2 linked regions of the Coturnix japonica genome follow. Each later gene encodes a partner of the first gene's protein in a complex. Links are inferred from orthologs where the notes say so. Each region holds a gene or a part of one and is shown in the gene's direction. Other genes may lie near its edges. The genes, in order: EXOSC9 and EXOSC1.

Region 1 (4,509 bases):
CAGCTCCTCTAGACCTCATTTAAGGGCTGACCACCACTAAGGCAGCATCTCTTGGAGGTTGTTTCCTGGTGGAGATTGACTCAGCATTTCCTAGTGAAGGCATCCATATTGTTGAGTTTTTCCTTATAAATAACCTTTTGAGTATTGGTTACCATCTTTGTATCATTCCACCTTGCAATGCCCCTGTTGCCTTTTCTATGATTAATAGAGGGTAGCATGGTCTAGGAGCCTCCAATAAACCCTTGTAACAATTTTAGTATGTAAGTACCTGAAGAGAGTTTCATGAAAAGCTGTTTCATATTGAAATGCAAATGCTTCACAAAACTGGTTTTCATTCATCTGCACTACTGAGCAACCCCTTACTGCAAAAATCCCACTGTCCATATAGTCTGCAAGAATAGTACAACTTATTAGCTAATGTGGATGACTTGTTGAGCAATGCATCCATTTCCAGATTTCAATTCTTTTTCACTGGTAGACAATATAATGTTTTTTGTAAGAGTATTAGAGAGATGGTAAGCATTATCTTCCCTTGCAAATGCAGCAGTTATAACAAAACAGTGCTAGTGAACGAGATCCAAGTAGAACTGATTAATTTATCCTTCCCAAGATAAGCAGCATGCTGAATCAATAACAGTGACAGCTAAGATACCCAAGGAAGCCCTGATACTTCCTGCTAAATATCTGAACTGCTGCATTAGTCATGCACAGAATGTCCATTTAAGCATGAAATTCAGCTCTCTCTCTTCTTGCACAGAAGCTACGAGAATTAAACTGCACTGAAAAATGCTTAAGCTTAATTGCTTGCCTGCTGTGGTCGACCTCAATGCAAACGCTGCAGGTCCAGTTTTCACACCTGGAGCACAAATACCAGTGATTCCAAATACAGTTGGCAGTAAGTCATTGTACTTTCCAACCCTCTCCTCCCCTCCCCCCAAAAAAGAGAAAAATAGAAAAAAGGAAAAGGGAGGTGGTGGGGAAAAATAAACAAACCAAAAAAACAAAGGGACAAGGGGGAATGGTTTTAAACTGAGACGGGAGGTTTAGGTTAGATATTAGGAGGAAGTTTTTCACACAGAGGGTGGTGACGCACTGGAACAGGTTGCCCAAGGAGGTTGTAGATGCCCCATCCCTGCAGGCATTCAAGGCCAGGCTGGATGTGGCTCTGGGCAGCCTGGTCTGCTGGTTGGTGACCCTGCACATAGCAGGGGGTTGAAATTCGATGATCACTGCGGTCCTTTTCAACCCAGGCCACTCTATGATTCAGTGAAAAGGTGGAAAGAAATAGCAAGATAAGTTGATTTAATGTGGGCTGGTTCAATAACAGTGAAGATTTCTCATTGAAGAGAAGTGTTTACTTCTACTGTCAGGCAAAATGACATTGAAAGGCTCTACAGAGGGATCTGGATAGGCTGAATCAGTGGGCTGAGACCAACTGTATGAGCTTCAACAAGACCAAGTCCTGAGTTTCAGGAAGGGAGGTCACGGTGAGGTGAAGTCGGCCTCTTCTGGGTCACAGTGACAGGACAAGAAGGAATGCCGTCAAGTTGCACCAAGGGAGGTGTAGGCTGGGTATTAGGGAAGAAGGAATTCCTCTCACAAAGAGCACTAGGCGCCTGCACCGAAGAATCGCGTCCGCCCACCGCCAGGGGGCCCCATTCAGCAGCTCCGCCGGCCGCGCTCTGTGGTGAGGCGGCTGGAGCGGCCGCCGCGTGTTGATGACGTCCCGCAGCCGAGCTCACGCCGTCCGTTTGTGGGGTCTGCCATGAAGGAGACGCCGCTGTCCAACTGCGAGCGGCGCTTCCTGCTGCGCGCCATCCAGGAGAGGAAGGTGCGGTGCCGGACCGGCCTCCCCGTACCCTGCCCCGTACCCTGCCCCGGGCCCTTGTCGCCTCAGCTGCGGGGCGGCGCGGCCCGGCGTGGTGCGCTGACCGCCCCGTGTGTGTGTGTGTGTGTGTGTCTGTCCCCGCAGCGGCTGGACGGGCGGCAGTGCTACGACTACCGCAATGTGCGCATCTCCTTCGGGCCCGAGCGCGGCTGCTGCGTGGTGGAGCTGGGCAAGACCAGGTAGGAGCGGCCGGGGGTCTCCGGGCTGGGACACACACAGCTCTATGCGCATTCACCGCCCTCAGGGTGAAGGAAAGGAAACTTGAGCTGAACAACGAGAAATGTGTTAGAAAACATCCACATGGGTCTTTGTTTTTTCTTTATATGTTTTGTTTCCATCGTTAGGTATTTTCTTGCTAAGCTTTCTGACCTAGCTGCTTATTTCCTTCTGCAGGGTCCTTGGGCAAGTCTCATGTGAACTCGTTCCCCCGAAGCCAAACCGGGCTACAGAAGGGATTCTGTTCTGTAACCTGGAGCTCTCACCCATGGCTGCACCTGGCTTTGAGCCTGGCAGGTACGTCGCTTTCTTAAGAAGTCCAGGCAAGGATAATGGTGCAAGTGGTAGAAGTGCCGCTCTGCTACACAGAGGCTCGAATCCCAGGGGTTGGACTTGATGATCTCTAAGGTCCCTTCCAACCCGCACGAGACTGATACTGTGATAATGTATGAACCACTGCTTGGACACGCACAAGTATGTACCATAATGATGTTGAATTTGGGTTGATTTTGTTTGAACAGGCAATCCGAGTTACTGGTCAAAGTGAACAGACTGATAGAACGATGCCTGAGGAATTCCAAGTGTATAGATACAGAATCCCTCTGCGTTGTTGCTGGTGAAAAGGTAGGAGAAAACTACCAGTCTCAAACCATTGCATAGAATCACTGAGCTTGGAGAAGACCTCCAAGATAATCCACTCCAACCATCCACATAGCACCAATATTTCCCCACTTAAGCCACGTCCCTTAGTTATACATCTAAATATTTCTCGAATTCAATCACATATAAACATGTTTAATGATTTTAAACATAAAAGTCACTTTTTCAGGTGCTCTGTCTTGTTTTGAATACTGGTCTTTTTTCATCCTAACTCTTAAATCAAATACTCGAGGAATGTAAGCTGCTCTTTTTTGTGATTCAAAAACTGGAAGTGTCTTGGAAAAGCAGGAGCTTCTGTGGAATTATGTTACACATTGCCAGTTATACATGTTTTCCCTCAGGTCTGGCAAATCCGTGTGGATCTGCACCTGTTAAATCACGATGGTAACATTATAGATGCTGCCAGCATAGCAGGAATCGTGGCCCTATGCCATTTTCGCAGACCAGATGTTTCTGTGCAAGGAAAAGAAATAACGGTGGTAAGTCATACCAGGTTTACCTCCATAAGTCGTAAATGGGAAGTATTATACAAGGAGAACCAAAAGAGATTTTTTATTAATATTTAGTTGACTAGACTTTTTTTCTTTGCTTTCTGTTTCTTTACATTGCTCTTGCACAATGTAAGTAACCAATAACCAATTCTTTTCTCAGTACTCTCCTGAGGAACGTGATCCTGTGCCCCTGAGCATCCACCACATGCCTATTTGTGTCAGTTTTGCCTTCTTCCAGCAGGGGTAAGAATTCTTCTTAAAGCTCTTGACAGAAACAGCTTATTGTCAGTTGTGCAAAATTATTGTTACAGCACTGTGAAAATACTCTTGTTGACAGACAGCTTTCTTAACACGTTCATACGTGTTCTCCACAGTGTGATAGTAGCCAGCAGCTTGCACAGATAGGAAGAAAACTGTTACAAGGGAGTCAAAGTCAACCTCAAACTTCTGTTGTCTTATGTTAAAAACTTGGTTCTAGGACGTATTTGTTGGTGGATCCAAATGAACGAGAGGAACGTGTGATGGATGGTCTCCTTGTAATTGCCATGAATAAACATCAGGAAATTTGTACCATCCAGTCTAGTGGAGGGATTATGCTATTAAAGGATCAGGTAAAAGTCAAGGAAAACATTTAAGGATCTGTTCTGTGGTTCTATTTTAAGTCATGTTTTCATGATTCTAAACTGTTACCGTGTATGTAACGTACAGGTTCTGAGATGCAGTAAAATAACAGCTGTGAAGGTTGCGGAAATAACAGAATTAATTCAGAAAGCTTTGGAGAACGACCAGAAAGTGAGGTGAGTTTTTGGGGAAGGAATGGAAAGTACTTTGAAGAACTGATTGAAAAGTTAATGCCAGTTTATAATGAAACAGCAGGTTGTTTCTGTTTGTAATCATTTCAAGTATTACAAGTATGGAAATGCTTGCTATATTCATATATGTGAAATATCCTGAAATAACGTCTGTTGTTGGATGACTAGGAAAGAAGGTGGGAAGTTCGGCTTTGCAGAATCGATATCAAATCAGAAGATCACTGCCTTCAAAATGGACAGTGCTGCTGTAGATACCAACAATGTGGAAGAACAAGCAGAAGAAATCATAACTAAAGCTGACCCTCCTTCAGAAGTGTATGTTTTCTATTCGTTATTCCAGGGGGGAGTTTTCCTCTTATCTGCACTGGCCCTTCTAGAAGCTAGTAAGACACTCAAGCTATCAGATGGCTCCGGGTGGCCCTATAGCCTTCAGAGGAAACAG
Region 2 (3,745 bases), on another chromosome or scaffold:
CCCATAGTGCCACAGCTGCCCTGCCTGCCGAACCAGCTTAAAGCGCCGCCGCCGGCCCAGCCGCAGGCACTTGAGGAGCAGGCGCATCACCGCCGCAAACATCCGCTGCCGGCTCCTCATCCCTGCTGCTCCGAACCTGCGGGGAAGGGGCTGGATGTGGGCAGATGCTGGGTGTGGGCAGATGCTGGGTGTGGGCAGATGCTGGGTGTGGGCAGATGCTGGATGTGGGCAGATGCTGGATGTGGGCAGATGCTGGGTGTGGGCAGGCCAGGTGTCAGGCTGCACGGCGGGGCAGGGCTCCTTCACCCTGCGCAGGATGCGGAGCAGAAGCGGGTGGCGCTGAGCCCAAAGGGATGCTGCGCTCCCGAGCTCTGTGTGCGGAGGGGGGACACGGGGCTGTCAGGCTCCGCGCCTGACCTCGGGTGCTCCCTGCTCCCATCTCGTCTTTCCCACAGGGGAGGGGGTTGGGGAGCGACACGGAGAGTCTGACTCAGAGGAAACTGGAGACGGTGAGGGCACATGGGGCGAAGAGCTCATTCCAGGGCAGGGAACGCTCCAAACCCACGGGGATCCCCTCAGCAGCCTTTGCTAATGGATTCGGGAGTGAGGGAGCCCGCACAAAACACGTGCCCTGTTCCTCACACCCAGCAGCACCTGGACGGCTCTTCCTTTTGCCTCAGCCCCGGACCAAGCTGCAGAGCCCATCGCACACCGACCCCAGCAGCTCCCCGGACAGTGCCACGCTGCGCTGTGCCAGGCCGAGCTGCGGGCACTCGGACAGCAGAGGGACGCACCGAGCCCTCGTCCTCCCGCTGAGCCTCTTATCCCACCCGAGGGCCGCGATGGGAGCGAGGAGGAACCCGAGCCGGGCCCGAAATGAGGCAAACGATCCGCCGGGTCAGGGCCCCCGGGCCATCAATATTAACGGCACGGCCGGCCCGGGATGCGGCCAAGGCACGAACCGAGCGCTCCGCTCGGCACCGCGCCAGGCAGCGGCACGGCCCAGCGCCAACACACGGCCCGGGAACACAGAGCGAGCGGCCGGCACACGGCGGGACCGGCACAACCGGCACAACCGGCACACGGCGGGACCGGGACACAGCGGTACCGGCACGGCCGCACGGCGGGTGATGAGCTCCCGCTCCCGGTGACCCCGTGCTGGGCTCAGGGCTGCCCTCGGCCGTGCCAGCCGGTCACGCCGCCCCAAGGCCGCGGGCCCGCCCCGCTCCGTGCCCCGCTCCCCGCCCCGCCGCACCCATCCCGTTCCCGTTCCCGTTCCCGCTCGCACCTGCCGCCCGCTCCCCGCCGCCCGCCGCCATGCCCGGTTCCCGCCGCCCTCACGGCACCGGGCAGCGCCCGCCGCCCCGCGCCTGCGCACTGAGCACAGCGGGCAGGGCCGGCACGAGGCGCCGCACTACGACTCCCAGCGGGCCGCGCGACACCGCCGCTCCCTGAGGTTAAAAGAGAACCAATAGGTATGCCGCTTACATCGCGGCCCCGTCGCTGAGAGCCAATAGGAGGAGGGTTCTTTGCGGGCTCACGCGCGACGCTGAACATGGCGCCACCAGCTCGGTACTGCGTGCCCGGTAAGTGCGGGGCGGGCGGCGGGGGGGGACGGGCCGGTAAGTGCGGGACCGGTGCTGAGCGAGCGACCCGCAGGAGAACGGCTGTGCGGAGCGGACGGAAACGCGGCGGGGAGCGGCACCTACGTGCGGAACGGCAACATCTTCGCTGCGCTGAGCGGATGCGTGCGGCGCTGCGAGCGGGACGGGGCGGTGAGAGCACGGCGGGGAACGGGAAACGGGGCGGGACCGGGCTGAGACCGGGTGTGTGTGTGTGTCTATGTGTGTGTGTGTGTGTCTGTGTGTGTGTCTGTGTGTCTATCCATCTGTCTGTGCCCCGCAGCTGCCCGTGGTGTCGGTGGTGCGGGATGCAGAGGCGCAGCTGCTGCCCGACGTGGGCTCCGTGGTGACGTGTAAGGTGGGTGCCGCTGTCCCCACGTGTCCCCGCGGCCGGGGCCGTGTGCTCGGCTCACGGAGCTCCGGACGGACGGCGGCGGACACTCAAGGAGCCGCCCGGCCCGGCCCGGCCCACGCTGCGCGGGCGCTGAGTGCCCGCCGCCCGTTGGTGCAGGTGTGCAGCATCAACTCCCGGTTTGCCAAAGTGAACATCCTGTACGTTGGCTCCACGCCGCTGAAATCCACCTTCCGTGGCACCATACGGTAGGGAAAGGGCAGGGGGCACACTGCGCGGTGCCTGCCTGCTGCGAGGACAGCTGCGTGGATGCATCTAGCGAGGCCTGGCTGCCGTCCAGGGAGGCCGGGGCAGCTCCTCCTGGCTCTCTCTGGTATCACATTCCTGTGTCTGCTTTTCTAGGAGGGAAGACATTCGAGCTACTGAAAAGGATAAGGTCAGCGGGGCACTGCTGGGTACAGTGCTGTTACAGCTTCCCCCTGTCCAGCTCCCCTCGTGCTGCTGCCCATGGGGTGCCTATCGAGCAGTACCTGCGCTCTCCATGCACTCCTGTCCACTCCCTCCCACGTAGGTAGAAGTCTACAAGAGTTTCCGCCCCGGTGACATAGTCCTGGCCAAAGTCGTATCCTTTCCCATCGCAGTGGGAGGGCCCACGGGCCTGGAGGGTTTGTGCTGGGCTATAGAGGCAGGGAGTCTTTCCCTTAACACAAACCTAACCAGATCTCGCTGGGGGATGCACAGTCCAACTACCTGCTGAGCACGGCAGAGAACGAGCTGGGTGTGGTGGTGGCACGCAGCGACGCAGGTAGGAATCCTCATCTCCATGTGAGGAACAGCCAGTGCAGCATGGGGAGCAAACACCCTCCTTTCCTCCCACTGCTGAGCCTCAGGGGCTGCACGAGGAGGCTTTGGGCTGCTGGGGCTGGGCAGTGTGACAAAGCAGGAAGGGATCTGCTAACTGAGGATGCCTGCAGGGGTGCAGATGGTGCCTATCAGCTGGTGTGAGATGCAGTGCCCACAGACGCACACCAAGGACTTCCGTAAGGTGGCCCGTGTGCAGCCTCAGTTCCTGCAGACATAGCAGCCTCCTCAGGGGTACAGGGACCCCAGGAAAGAGAGCTGCTATGGTGGGGTCCAGCATCTTCCATACAGCAGGATGGGTTTTGTATTTGTGCTGTAAGTAATAAATAAACGTGGTTTTTTTGAGAGCTCTGTGTTCTGCTCAGTCACTGCCCGCAGGGGTTGCTCTGGCTGCCTGTAGCCCTTCTGCTCTGGAGCTGCTGGAGGGGGCTGTTTCTCCCATCAGTGTGGGAGTGAGAAAGTCTGTTCCTGTCCTGGGGAGCAGCGAGGCTTTGAGGCTTAGTGGTACATAGCACCATCTATGGCTGCTGTGCTCATCCCCAGGATGGCTTATCACCTCAGGCCATACATGCCCTTTGTTAGGCAGAGGTGTGGCACAGCCCAGAGCCCATAAAGCACTGCAGTGAATCACTCTTTGCAGCGAGGATTGCAGAACTGTGCTTTGCTGTGCAGTCTGAGCACCTTCTGCACCCACAAGTCAGCAGCAACTTGCGCATCACAGACACGTGGTGGTGCAGGAAATGCGGTGCTAGGCAAAGTGGGAGCTCCACGTGGCGCAGTGGCACAAGGAAACGCTGACATTTAATTATTGCATATTCATCTTTTATTGAACTGGAACAAGACAACTGCTACCGCTGGACAGTTAGATTGACCCAGTGCAAGCCCAGACTCACTACAGCAGCAGTGGGGG

What was found.
Region 2: EXOSC9 (region 1) and EXOSC1 share a complex: the UniProt entries of both Homo sapiens proteins name them as parts of the RNA exosome core complex. The link is inferred for Coturnix japonica from reciprocal best matches to the Homo sapiens genes EXOSC9 and EXOSC1.

The regions. Positions count from the first base shown.
Region 1 is NC_029519.1:48,282,498-48,287,006, reverse strand, and holds the start of EXOSC9 (exosome complex component RRP45), read left to right. Parts: upstream 1-1,695; 5' UTR 1,696-1,765; coding exon 1,766-1,831; intron 1,832-1,972; coding exon 1,973-2,067; intron 2,068-2,281; coding exon 2,282-2,401; intron 2,402-2,625; coding exon 2,626-2,728; intron 2,729-3,105; coding exon 3,106-3,243; intron 3,244-3,415; coding exon 3,416-3,498; intron 3,499-3,733; coding exon 3,734-3,866; intron 3,867-3,963; coding exon 3,964-4,052; intron 4,053-4,235; coding exon 4,236-4,382; intron 4,383-4,509. UniProt on the Homo sapiens protein: Non-catalytic component of the RNA exosome complex which has 3'->5' exoribonuclease activity and participates in a multitude of cellular RNA processing and degradation events.
Region 2 is NC_029521.1:19,502,136-19,505,880, forward strand, and holds EXOSC1 (exosome complex component CSL4), read left to right. Parts: upstream 1-1,555; coding exon 1,556-1,586; intron 1,587-1,659; coding exon 1,660-1,775; intron 1,776-1,905; coding exon 1,906-1,980; intron 1,981-2,133; coding exon 2,134-2,222; intron 2,223-2,376; coding exon 2,377-2,410; intron 2,411-2,545; coding exon 2,546-2,596; intron 2,597-2,694; coding exon 2,695-2,779; intron 2,780-2,948; coding exon 2,949-3,055; 3' UTR 3,056-3,182; downstream 3,183-3,745. Other genes in the region: palmitoyltransferase ZDHHC16, read right to left, coding at 1-136, 1,289-1,557. UniProt on the Homo sapiens protein: Non-catalytic component of the RNA exosome complex which has 3'->5' exoribonuclease activity and participates in a multitude of cellular RNA processing and degradation events.